Linked DNA regions of Saccharomyces cerevisiae S288C. The main gene of each other region encodes a partner of the protein of the gene in region 2 in a complex. Each region holds a gene or a part of one and is shown on either strand. Other genes may lie near its edges. A codon is read from its position in the direction of its gene.

Region 1 (4,862 bases), on a different chromosome or scaffold from region 2:
AATAGCAGCGAATTACCCAAACTTCTTTACTCTGTTCCCTTAACCAGTTGATAAGAGGTTACGAAGTACGGAAGTATGGCTTTTTATATAAATCCTAAAAAGGGCCGCCTCCGCCCCTTAATCCATCGACACCCGCAAATGAAATATAGTACCCGGAAGGCATAAGACGGGTTACAGCCTCTCCATAGATTCAATAACCGCTTTTGGTTATAGAAATAATCAGACCTCAGCAAATACAATTGAGGAGCTCAAGATATTGAAAACGGATTAACAAACTTTTTAAAATTATTTATGAGCTTGTTGTACCACATCAAGCAGGATTATGTTTTTTTCAGAACTTCTTTTTCTGATTCAAAAATTCATTAAGCATAACTAAAACTGAAAATCAAAACTTATTAATATACAAAAATCTATATATTTCAAAATGTAAATCGTATCAAAACGTCACTCTATATGTAATAAAAACCCAAAAAGTTATGAATAGATGAATTCTGAGTATTGGTATCTACCATCTTCTCTCTTAAAAAGGGGCAGCATTTTCTATGGGTATTTGTCCTTGGTTACGAAAATTGCAAATTCTCGGGGCCTTTTGAGGTTTGGTCCAATTTTGCCCTTTTAACCTTCTTACTAGGATCAATTTGTGATTGCGATAAACTTACCGAATGTATTCTCTTCAAAATGTTCCCCGTATTCGCATTAATCGGTGACTCTACCAAGTCGTTTAGTACCGAATTATTGCCGTTATTATTTGTATCGCTAACTGGCGGCTTCTTAGCCGACATTGATGAAGAAGAAGCCGAGGGTTGATTTGCACGTTGAGCTGCCATCATCTGGGTTAACTTTTTCACCAAATCTTTTTCTTCGGCTGTTTGCTTAAGTACTACTCTTTGTTCTTGTAACATACCTAATCCCTCGTTAAACAGACCTGTAGTATCGTTAATTTCCACTTTAAAGCCAATGACAAATTTATTGTTTTTATCCCAAATGATCTTGATTTCATCTCCGTCTTGTAAAAGGAATTTCGTACCCTGTATCATGCGGTTATTATTTAAATAGCTCACGTTAGTTCCGGTGTGGCAATACCAAATATCATCTAAACCTTGTGCCGGAGATTCATACATGCTTTTGCCTACAGCATGCCTCTTTTTGAAAATGAAGCAATGAACTCGAGACAACCTATTGTCTTCAATTTTACAATTGCAATCCTCGGATCTACCAATGAAAAATGGATTCACACCTTGCTGAATCTCCAGGCTTTCTTGAATAATGCTGTCAGGCAATGGTTTTAAAGTTAAAAACCTACCATTACCCTTTTTCTTTGAGCTCTTGACATTCTCAGTATTATTGGAATGTAAAAGTTTTTGTTCTCTAGTTTCTGCTTCAATGCTTTTGGGCTGTGTATATCGAATAGGGGCGTGTGCGGGTATTTTAAATCCTTGAATTTTTCCATCTTGGTCTTCCTGATCCTGTTCTTGAAGTTGTTGCTCCATTTGTAATTTCCTTTGCGCTTTGACAAATTCGTATTGAGCATCGTCCATATTTTCTAATAATTTCTGCTGCGACAACGATTGTGATAAGGATATTTGTGAAAAATCACCATATGATTGTGAGCCCAATGGACTCATCTTGATCCAGGGATGATTCAAGGCTTTTGCAGCTGTCGACCTATTATTTGGATCCACCTGTAACAATGAATCTATGAAATCTCTTGCTTCTTCAGATATCCGGAAATCTTTGAGGGGCCCTTCATGATATGAGCCTCTTCCAATCTGTTTATATAATTGGTCCTGTGTGCTACCACTAAAAGGTAAGTGGCCCGTTAGGATAACATACACAAGACATCCCATTGACCACATATCCACTAACGAAGAGTACTCATTCCTTTCTTCGTATTCATCAGGAGATACGGATGTATCTTTACCTCTGATGACTTCAGGTGCCACATATGCCAAAGTGCCACAGAAGGTTTTCATAAAAGACCCATTTCCTTGTACTTTTGCCAGACCAAAGTCGGTTATCTTTACCAATACAGGATCGTCTTGTTCAATAAGAATATTATCGGGCTTTAGGTCACGATGGCTGATGCCCATAGAGTGAATGTATTTTATTGCTGTGAGTATCTGCCTGGATATCTCCCTCCCAGCATCTTCTCCAACCGCACCATGAGCAGCAACAAAATCCATTAAGTCACCACCAGAAACGAACTCCATCACCATATAATAACTCTCAGTATCTTCATAAAATCCTTTCAATCGTACTATCCTTGGATGATTGAGCTTTTGCAATACTTCTAACTCTCTTGTCACACCATCCATATTGCCTATTACTTTGCGTTTACTTATAATCTTCACCGCGAATGTTTTCCCAGTAGTTCTTTCAATGGCTTTCTTTACTGTGGCAAATGCACCCTGGCCCACCACTTCGTCAATAATCGAAAAATCCTTAAAAATACCAGTCTTGTTGGCCACCATTGATGATGCAGTAGATGATGTAAGACCAGGAGAAGCTATTTTAGAGGTATTTTTCAGGTTAGATCTTATGCGATCAACTTTGTTCTGCTCGAGGCACTGCTTAAATTTGTCGTTTATGAAAATGACCAGAGATAAAATATCTGATTCCACGCCTACACCAACGGTTATTTCATCACCTTGAGACAGTAACTGATTGCTGTTCTTCTCGACTTTTTGCCCATTTAACCAGGTCCCATTAGTGGAAATGTCATTCAATAAAAGGTTACCGTCTTCTCCTAGTAGTATTTGGAAATGCTTATTTGACAGTCTTGAAATGTTTCCTAAATGATAGTCACAGGCTGGGTTTCTACCAAATGTCCAAACTTTCTTTATGGATCGTTTTTCCTTAAGCACTTGTGAAATATCAGCTGACAAATCTCGGATGGGAATTTGACCCGTGGTACAAATGACCCTGCACACAATGTTTTCGCCGATCTGTTCTTGAGAAAACTTCTCAATCAAAAACCTTTGAGTAGCCTGCGTGGATTGCTGTGTGGGTTGTGTAATATTTTCCATTTTTAGTTGATGTTGTGTAACACTATCTTTTCTCACTATTCTCTCTTTTAAAGCTTAAGAAAATCGAATGCATATACAAAATTAGTTTGTCTTCCAATAATCTCTACCGTCCTTTTCTGCTTTCTTACCTTTTCTTGATCAGAGATTTCAAAATGGTAACTTTGGTACCCTTTATCTTCTCAACCTGTACCTTTATTCTATAAATGTTTTCATTTCCAAGTCTACCCACGGTGATGATTTTTCTGCCAATTTTACGCGTCACTCCCGTTGCCGTATCAACGCGTCCACACCACCTCACCCTCGAAATGAAAATAAATATGTTAATAGATGCACGTTTCATTGACATCTGTGACAAACACTTTCCGGCTTAATTAAAAGGAAGCAGGCTATTAATGCACCAACCAAACAAATGATGGTTCACCTCACGCTGAAATCTCATCTAATAAAGGAAGAATTACTTTGGCATGCTTTATCTCCGTCCTATAGTTGCCGATACCACGGTAGATAATACAGTATCATTCTAAAAGTACCATTTAGGTAGGTGCTGAGCGAACCAATAAGTAAGTTTTTGTTTTTTCTCAGTGTTTGCTTTGAATTTACATTGAAATACGTTGTTTTGGACGTACTACAATAGCCGCCATAATAGATTTTCGGGTAACTTTTACACTCTTCCCTCTCTTTCACGTGAGTAAGCACAGAATAAAATCCTAACGGATGTGATAGAACAAAAGGGATATCAATGACAAGAGAGAGGTACTTTATGTTAGTCGCCTGTGCAGAAAGAACAGTCCATAAACAACAATCCGTAAAGAACAATATAAATATTTAGAAAAAGATGTTGCCAGAAAAGAGACTATTGACTCCAGACGATATGAAACTATGGGAAGAATCCCCAACAAGAGCTCATTTCACTAAATTTATTATAGATTTGGCTGAATCTGTCAAAGGACATGAGAATTCCCAGTACAAAGAACCAATATCGGAGTCAATAAACAGTATGATGAACTTGCTTTCGCAAATAAAAGATATCACTCAGAAGCACCCAGTAATAAAGGATGCAGATAGCTCGAGATTTGGTAAGGTTGAGTTTAGGGACTTTTATGACGAAGTTTCACGGAATTCCAGGAAGATCTTACGTTCCGAATTTCCCTCTCTCACAGATGAGCAGTTGGAACAATTATCGATTTATCTAGATGAATCATGGGGAAATAAAAGAAGAATTGATTATGGTTCAGGTCATGAATTAAATTTCATGTGTTTACTTTATGGACTCTATAGTTATGGAATATTCAATCTTTCAAACGATTCAACTAACCTCGTGCTGAAAGTTTTTATAGAATACCTTAAAATAATGAGGATACTAGAAACTAAATATTGGCTTGAGCCTGCGGGCTCTCATGGTGTTTGGGGATTAGATGATTATCATTTCCTTCCATTTCTATTTGGTGCCTTCCAATTAACCACCCACAAGCACTTAAAGCCGATATCAATTCACAATAATGAGCTCGTAGAAATGTTCGCTCATCGGTACTTATATTTTGGTTGTATCGCTTTTATTAATAAGGTCAAGTCATCCGCCTCCTTGAGATGGCATTCTCCTATGCTAGATGACATCAGCGGTGTAAAGACTTGGTCAAAAGTTGCTGAAGGGATGATAAAAATGTATAAAGCCGAAGTCCTTAGTAAATTGCCCATCATGCAACATTTTTACTTTAGCGAGTTTTTGCCTTGTCCGGATGGTGTATCTCCACCAAGAGGCCACATACATGATGGGACTGATAAGGATGATGAGTGCAATTTTGAAGGACATGTTCATACTACTTGGGGAGACTGCTG
Region 2 (4,124 bases):
GACTTTCTATATACTACAAATACCGCCAATGATGCAGTGAGCAAGATATCAATTAATGCAAAAACAATATCGAGTAAGGTAGAAACATCTCTGTGATTAAACATCGTACATATAAATACCATATATAAAAGTATGTGGGAAAAGAACGTTCAAAAAAAAAAAGTAAGTAGTAGGTTAAAAATAAAATCTCAAAAGAGGGAAAAAAAAAAAAGAGGGATAATTTTGGCTTGATTACATTGCGTTACTTAAAGTAGCCTCATCATTCATTCATTATCATCGTTTCATCGACATTAGGTGACGTTTCTCAGTAAAAATTAACTTCATCATGATCATTAATTTCATATTCATATTCGGTTATTTTTTTTTTTTTTTATATTTTTTTTCAATGGTGTTTTTGATGGTTTTTATTATATATATATATTTTTTTATCTTTTATCTTGTGTAAGCACCCCTCATTACTTGTATCGTGCGATATACAAATACCAAACAAACTCTATAATCATAGAATAATGGAAGTATATATTACCATAGATTCTTCTTGTTTTGGTTTTGTAAATCCAGTCCGCTTAAAGAACGATTCAAGCCCTGTTCCAAGCCATCATCTAGTCCAGAGTGACTCAAAGATTTATAGATCAAGTCGGCACTATTCAAATTGTGTGCGGACAACATGGACTCATCGTGATAAGACTGATATGAGAAATTAGAATGTACTGAGCCATTTGTGTGCTGTGGAAGCAGTTGGGACTGTGAGTTTGCTGAAGATGGGCCGTTAAGGTTGTACAACTGCTGGGAAGACAATGAAGCATTTTGGTATGCCACTGGTACCCGTTGTTGAGTTTGGGACTGTGCTGGTGGTTGCGCTTGGGATAGGGTTTGGCTGTTGATTGGGATTTGTGAATTTGGAGGTGAAATTTGAGAATTTCTCAGTAAGGGATTAACGGAATTGATTTGATAATGGTTGGCAGAATAACCGGATGGAATTCTTGAGGATGGTGTTAAAGTAGCTTGTTGTCTTAAAAAAGATTGTTGTTGTTGCGCAGCTGACTGAACATTTTGCTGTGTTTGTGGTTGAGGTTGTTGCGGTTGGTCTGCGGAATTGTATTGAGAACTATGGTGTATGTTCATTTTAGGTGAGGTTAGTGTTGGTTGCATGGAGAATTGTCCCTGTGAAGAAATTTTTGGTGTTGAGCTGGCGCTATTGTTATTAATGATGACATTGTTACCGTTACCGTTATTACTGTTAATAGTATTGCTGTTGGAAGAATTGTTAACGGCCTGATTGCTAATACTATTCGCTGCAGCTGCTGCATGGGCCTGTAACAAACTTGTATAAGATTGTGACCTATTCATGGAGCCGCCAGTGGAGTTTGGCTGCAAAGGATGAGCAGATGTCATTTGACCTTGTTGTTGCAAATGAGATTGTAAATTAGCATGATCCAGAATCTTTCTTCTGATAATAATAAATCTTGGATCATATACTTCTACTAGCCCTAAGTACGAGCACAAAACATTGATAATTCTCTTGTGGGAAGCGGATATACCCATGGGATAAGCCAACTCGTAATAATACTTTTCTCTATCCTTAAATAACAATAATTGGGAATAAATTTCCAAAGTGTCAGGGTCATTGAAGTCCAGTTGTTGGGGTGGGAGAGGCAAAGTGGAAGTTGATGGTAAAGGCGCATAAAATCTCTCAGTGGACATCTGGGCTTGATTATTAACGTTTGTTTGGTACAACGATGAAGAAGTATGTTGGGCAGAAAGTGAAGGTTGGTTCAGAATGATGTTACCACTATTGTTGTTATTAGAACTGTTATTGTTAATGGTATTATTCATTGGACTGTTCATCATGCTATTAGCATTAATGCCGTTCATTAGAGTCGAGAATAATTGATTGTTAGAAGTATTATTGTTTCCGCTTCCACTCATTTTAGATAAAGAATCCAAAGAAAGATTAGATGACGATCTGTGTTGTTCTTCTAATTGTCCTCTTTTCTCTCTCTTCTCCCTCTCGATTCTTTCTCTTTCAGCTTGGGGAAGCATTTTTTTATATTCCACTTTCAATTTCCTCCCGCTGATTTCCTTTCCATTCAAAGAAGTTATCACTTGAGTAGTTTCTTCAGGAGTGGTGAAATTCGCAAAGGCTAGTCCTCTGAAAATACCGTTATCAAAGTGGTAATTGAAGGCATAAGGAAGGGGAAGATCCATTTCTTCAATAATGTCTAACAATTGCTCTTTTTTAATAGCAAACGGAATGTTTTTAATAACAATAGCATTTGGGATAACATCATCGTCCAAAGCACCATTGGTGGGGGCATTATTCAAATTTGTAGAAGAAACGTTTTGTTCGGCATTTTTTGCAGAGTTCTCACCAGTTTCCGTTTGCACACCGTTTTCTTTGTCAATTGCATCTCTAGTTTCGATAGATTGCTGATTTGTTTCCTGGTCATTAGTCTCCGTATTTATATTATTATCCTGAGCATCATTGATGGCTGCAGGAGGAGCATTCTCAAAAGAACTGGTCTCCATTTCTTATTGTTGTTGAACACGCTTTCCCTAGTCTGTAGCCTGCCTCTATGAGTACTATATCACACTTCTTCTTGCGCTAATCTCCAAAGACCTGCTGGTAATCTCAGCTGAAAGGCTGCCTTTAATTGTTATTCTTTTCCAGGAAAAAATCGCAAAGTTGCAGCATCCGTGTTTCGTGACATCATTGAAGGTTACCCTAATCTATTACCTCGGATTAACTTGAATTAATAAGGACACACAGGTATAGGGAAGGTAAAGTTGAAGTAATGATAAGAAGTGGGCAGCACCGAAGCAGTTTATCTGAACTAACTTCTGTACGACTCGAGAATATAGTAAGAACACCATCATTAACCTGAAAGTTAAAAATGTCAGACCCTGTAGAGTTATTGAAAAGAGTATGTAGTAGGGAAATATATCAAAGGAACAAAATGAAAGCTATGTGATTCCGTAATTTACGAAGGCAAATTACTAACATTGAAATACGGGAATTGATATTTCCCGTTGTGTTAAGGCTGAGAAGAAGGGTGTTCCTTCATCGGGTTTCATGAAATTGTTTAGCGGTTCTGATTCATACAAGTTTGAGGAGGCTGCTGATCTTTGTGTCCAAGCAGCCACCATTTACCGTCTAAGAAAAGAGTTAAACTTGGCAGGAGACTCGTTTTTGAAAGCTGCTGACTATCAGAAAAAGGCTGGTAATGAAGACGAAGCAGGAAATACCTACGTAGAGGCTTATAAATGCTTTAAAAGCGGTGGAAACTCTGTGAACGCCGTGGATTCATTAGAAAATGCTATTCAAATTTTTACTCATAGGGGGCAGTTCCGGAGAGGTGCTAATTTCAAGTTTGAGCTTGGAGAAATTCTAGAAAATGATTTGCATGACTATGCAAAAGCTATAGATTGCTATGAGCTCGCTGGTGAGTGGTATGCCCAAGACCAGTCGGTAGCATTATCGAATAAGTGTTTTATCAAATGCGCAGATCTAAAGGCTCTTGACGGTCAATATATTGAAGCAAGTGATATATATTCGAAGTTGATCAAGAGCAGCATGGGCAATAGATTGAGCCAATGGAGTTTGAAGGATTACTTCCTAAAAAAAGGGCTTTGTCAGCTAGCTGCTACTGATGCAGTCGCTGCTGCAAGAACTTTACAAGAGGGTCAAAGTGAAGATCCGAATTTTGCGGATTCAAGGGAGTCAAATTTCTTGAAAAGTTTAATCGATGCTGTTAATGAAGGTGATAGCGAGCAGCTAAGCGAACACTGTAAGGAGTTTGACAATTTTATGAGACTAGATAAATGGAAAATTACCATTTTGAATAAAATTAAGGAGTCCATCCAGCAACAAGAAGATGATTTGTTATGAACGGCATATACTTACGCGCACATACATATATACATATATATTATAAATGTAACACTTGTTTTACCCGAAACGGCGAAGTAATTGTGTACCGCCGTGCACCTTTTCCTCGAGATAAACATATAGCGATGACTTAGAGAACAAAGTAGTATTAGTATCATATACTTCCAACGTTAATCAAGCGCAATAAACCTTTGTTCGTGTGTTTCAAAGTTATTGCAAGAGCGAAGTTGAAGCC

What was found. Proteins that work in one complex are often made in the same cells at the same time.
Region 1: the proteins of PIN4 (region 2) and RAD53 are in contact, whole or in part, in an NMR structure (PDB 2A0T), measured with the Saccharomyces cerevisiae proteins. Residues at the interface, in NP_009502.1 of Saccharomyces cerevisiae: Pro303 (codon at 1,623), Asp304 (codon at 1,620), Thr305 (codon at 1,617), Leu306 (codon at 1,614), Glu307 (codon at 1,611), Ile308 (codon at 1,608), Tyr309 (codon at 1,605); in NP_015172.1 of Saccharomyces cerevisiae: Arg70 (codon at 2,819), Ile81 (codon at 2,786), Ser82 (codon at 2,783), Arg83 (codon at 2,780), Leu84 (codon at 2,777), Ser85 (codon at 2,774), Asn86 (codon at 2,771), Thr106 (codon at 2,711), Asn107 (codon at 2,708), Gly135 (codon at 2,624), Val136 (codon at 2,621).

Annotation. Positions count from the first base shown.
Region 1 is NC_001148.4:261,167-266,028, forward strand, and holds RAD53 (serine/threonine/tyrosine protein kinase RAD53), read right to left. Parts: upstream 3,027-4,862; coding exon 561-3,026; downstream 1-560. Other genes in the region: YPL152W-A (uncharacterized protein), read left to right, coding at 3,436-3,534; peptidylprolyl isomerase RRD2, read left to right, coding at 3,862-4,862. UniProt on the Saccharomyces cerevisiae protein: Controls S-phase checkpoint as well as G1 and G2 DNA damage checkpoints. Phosphorylates proteins on serine, threonine, and tyrosine. Prevents entry into anaphase and mitotic exit after DNA damage via regulation of the Polo kinase CDC5.
Region 2 is NC_001134.8:122,231-126,354, forward strand, and holds PIN4 (Pin4p), read right to left. Parts: upstream 2,530-4,124; coding exon 523-2,529; downstream 1-522. Other genes in the region: alpha-soluble NSF attachment protein SEC17, read left to right, coding at 2,895-2,924, 3,041-3,889. UniProt on the Saccharomyces cerevisiae protein: Involved in normal G2/M phase transition of the mitotic cell cycle. In association with RAD53, also involved in checkpoint control in response to DNA damage.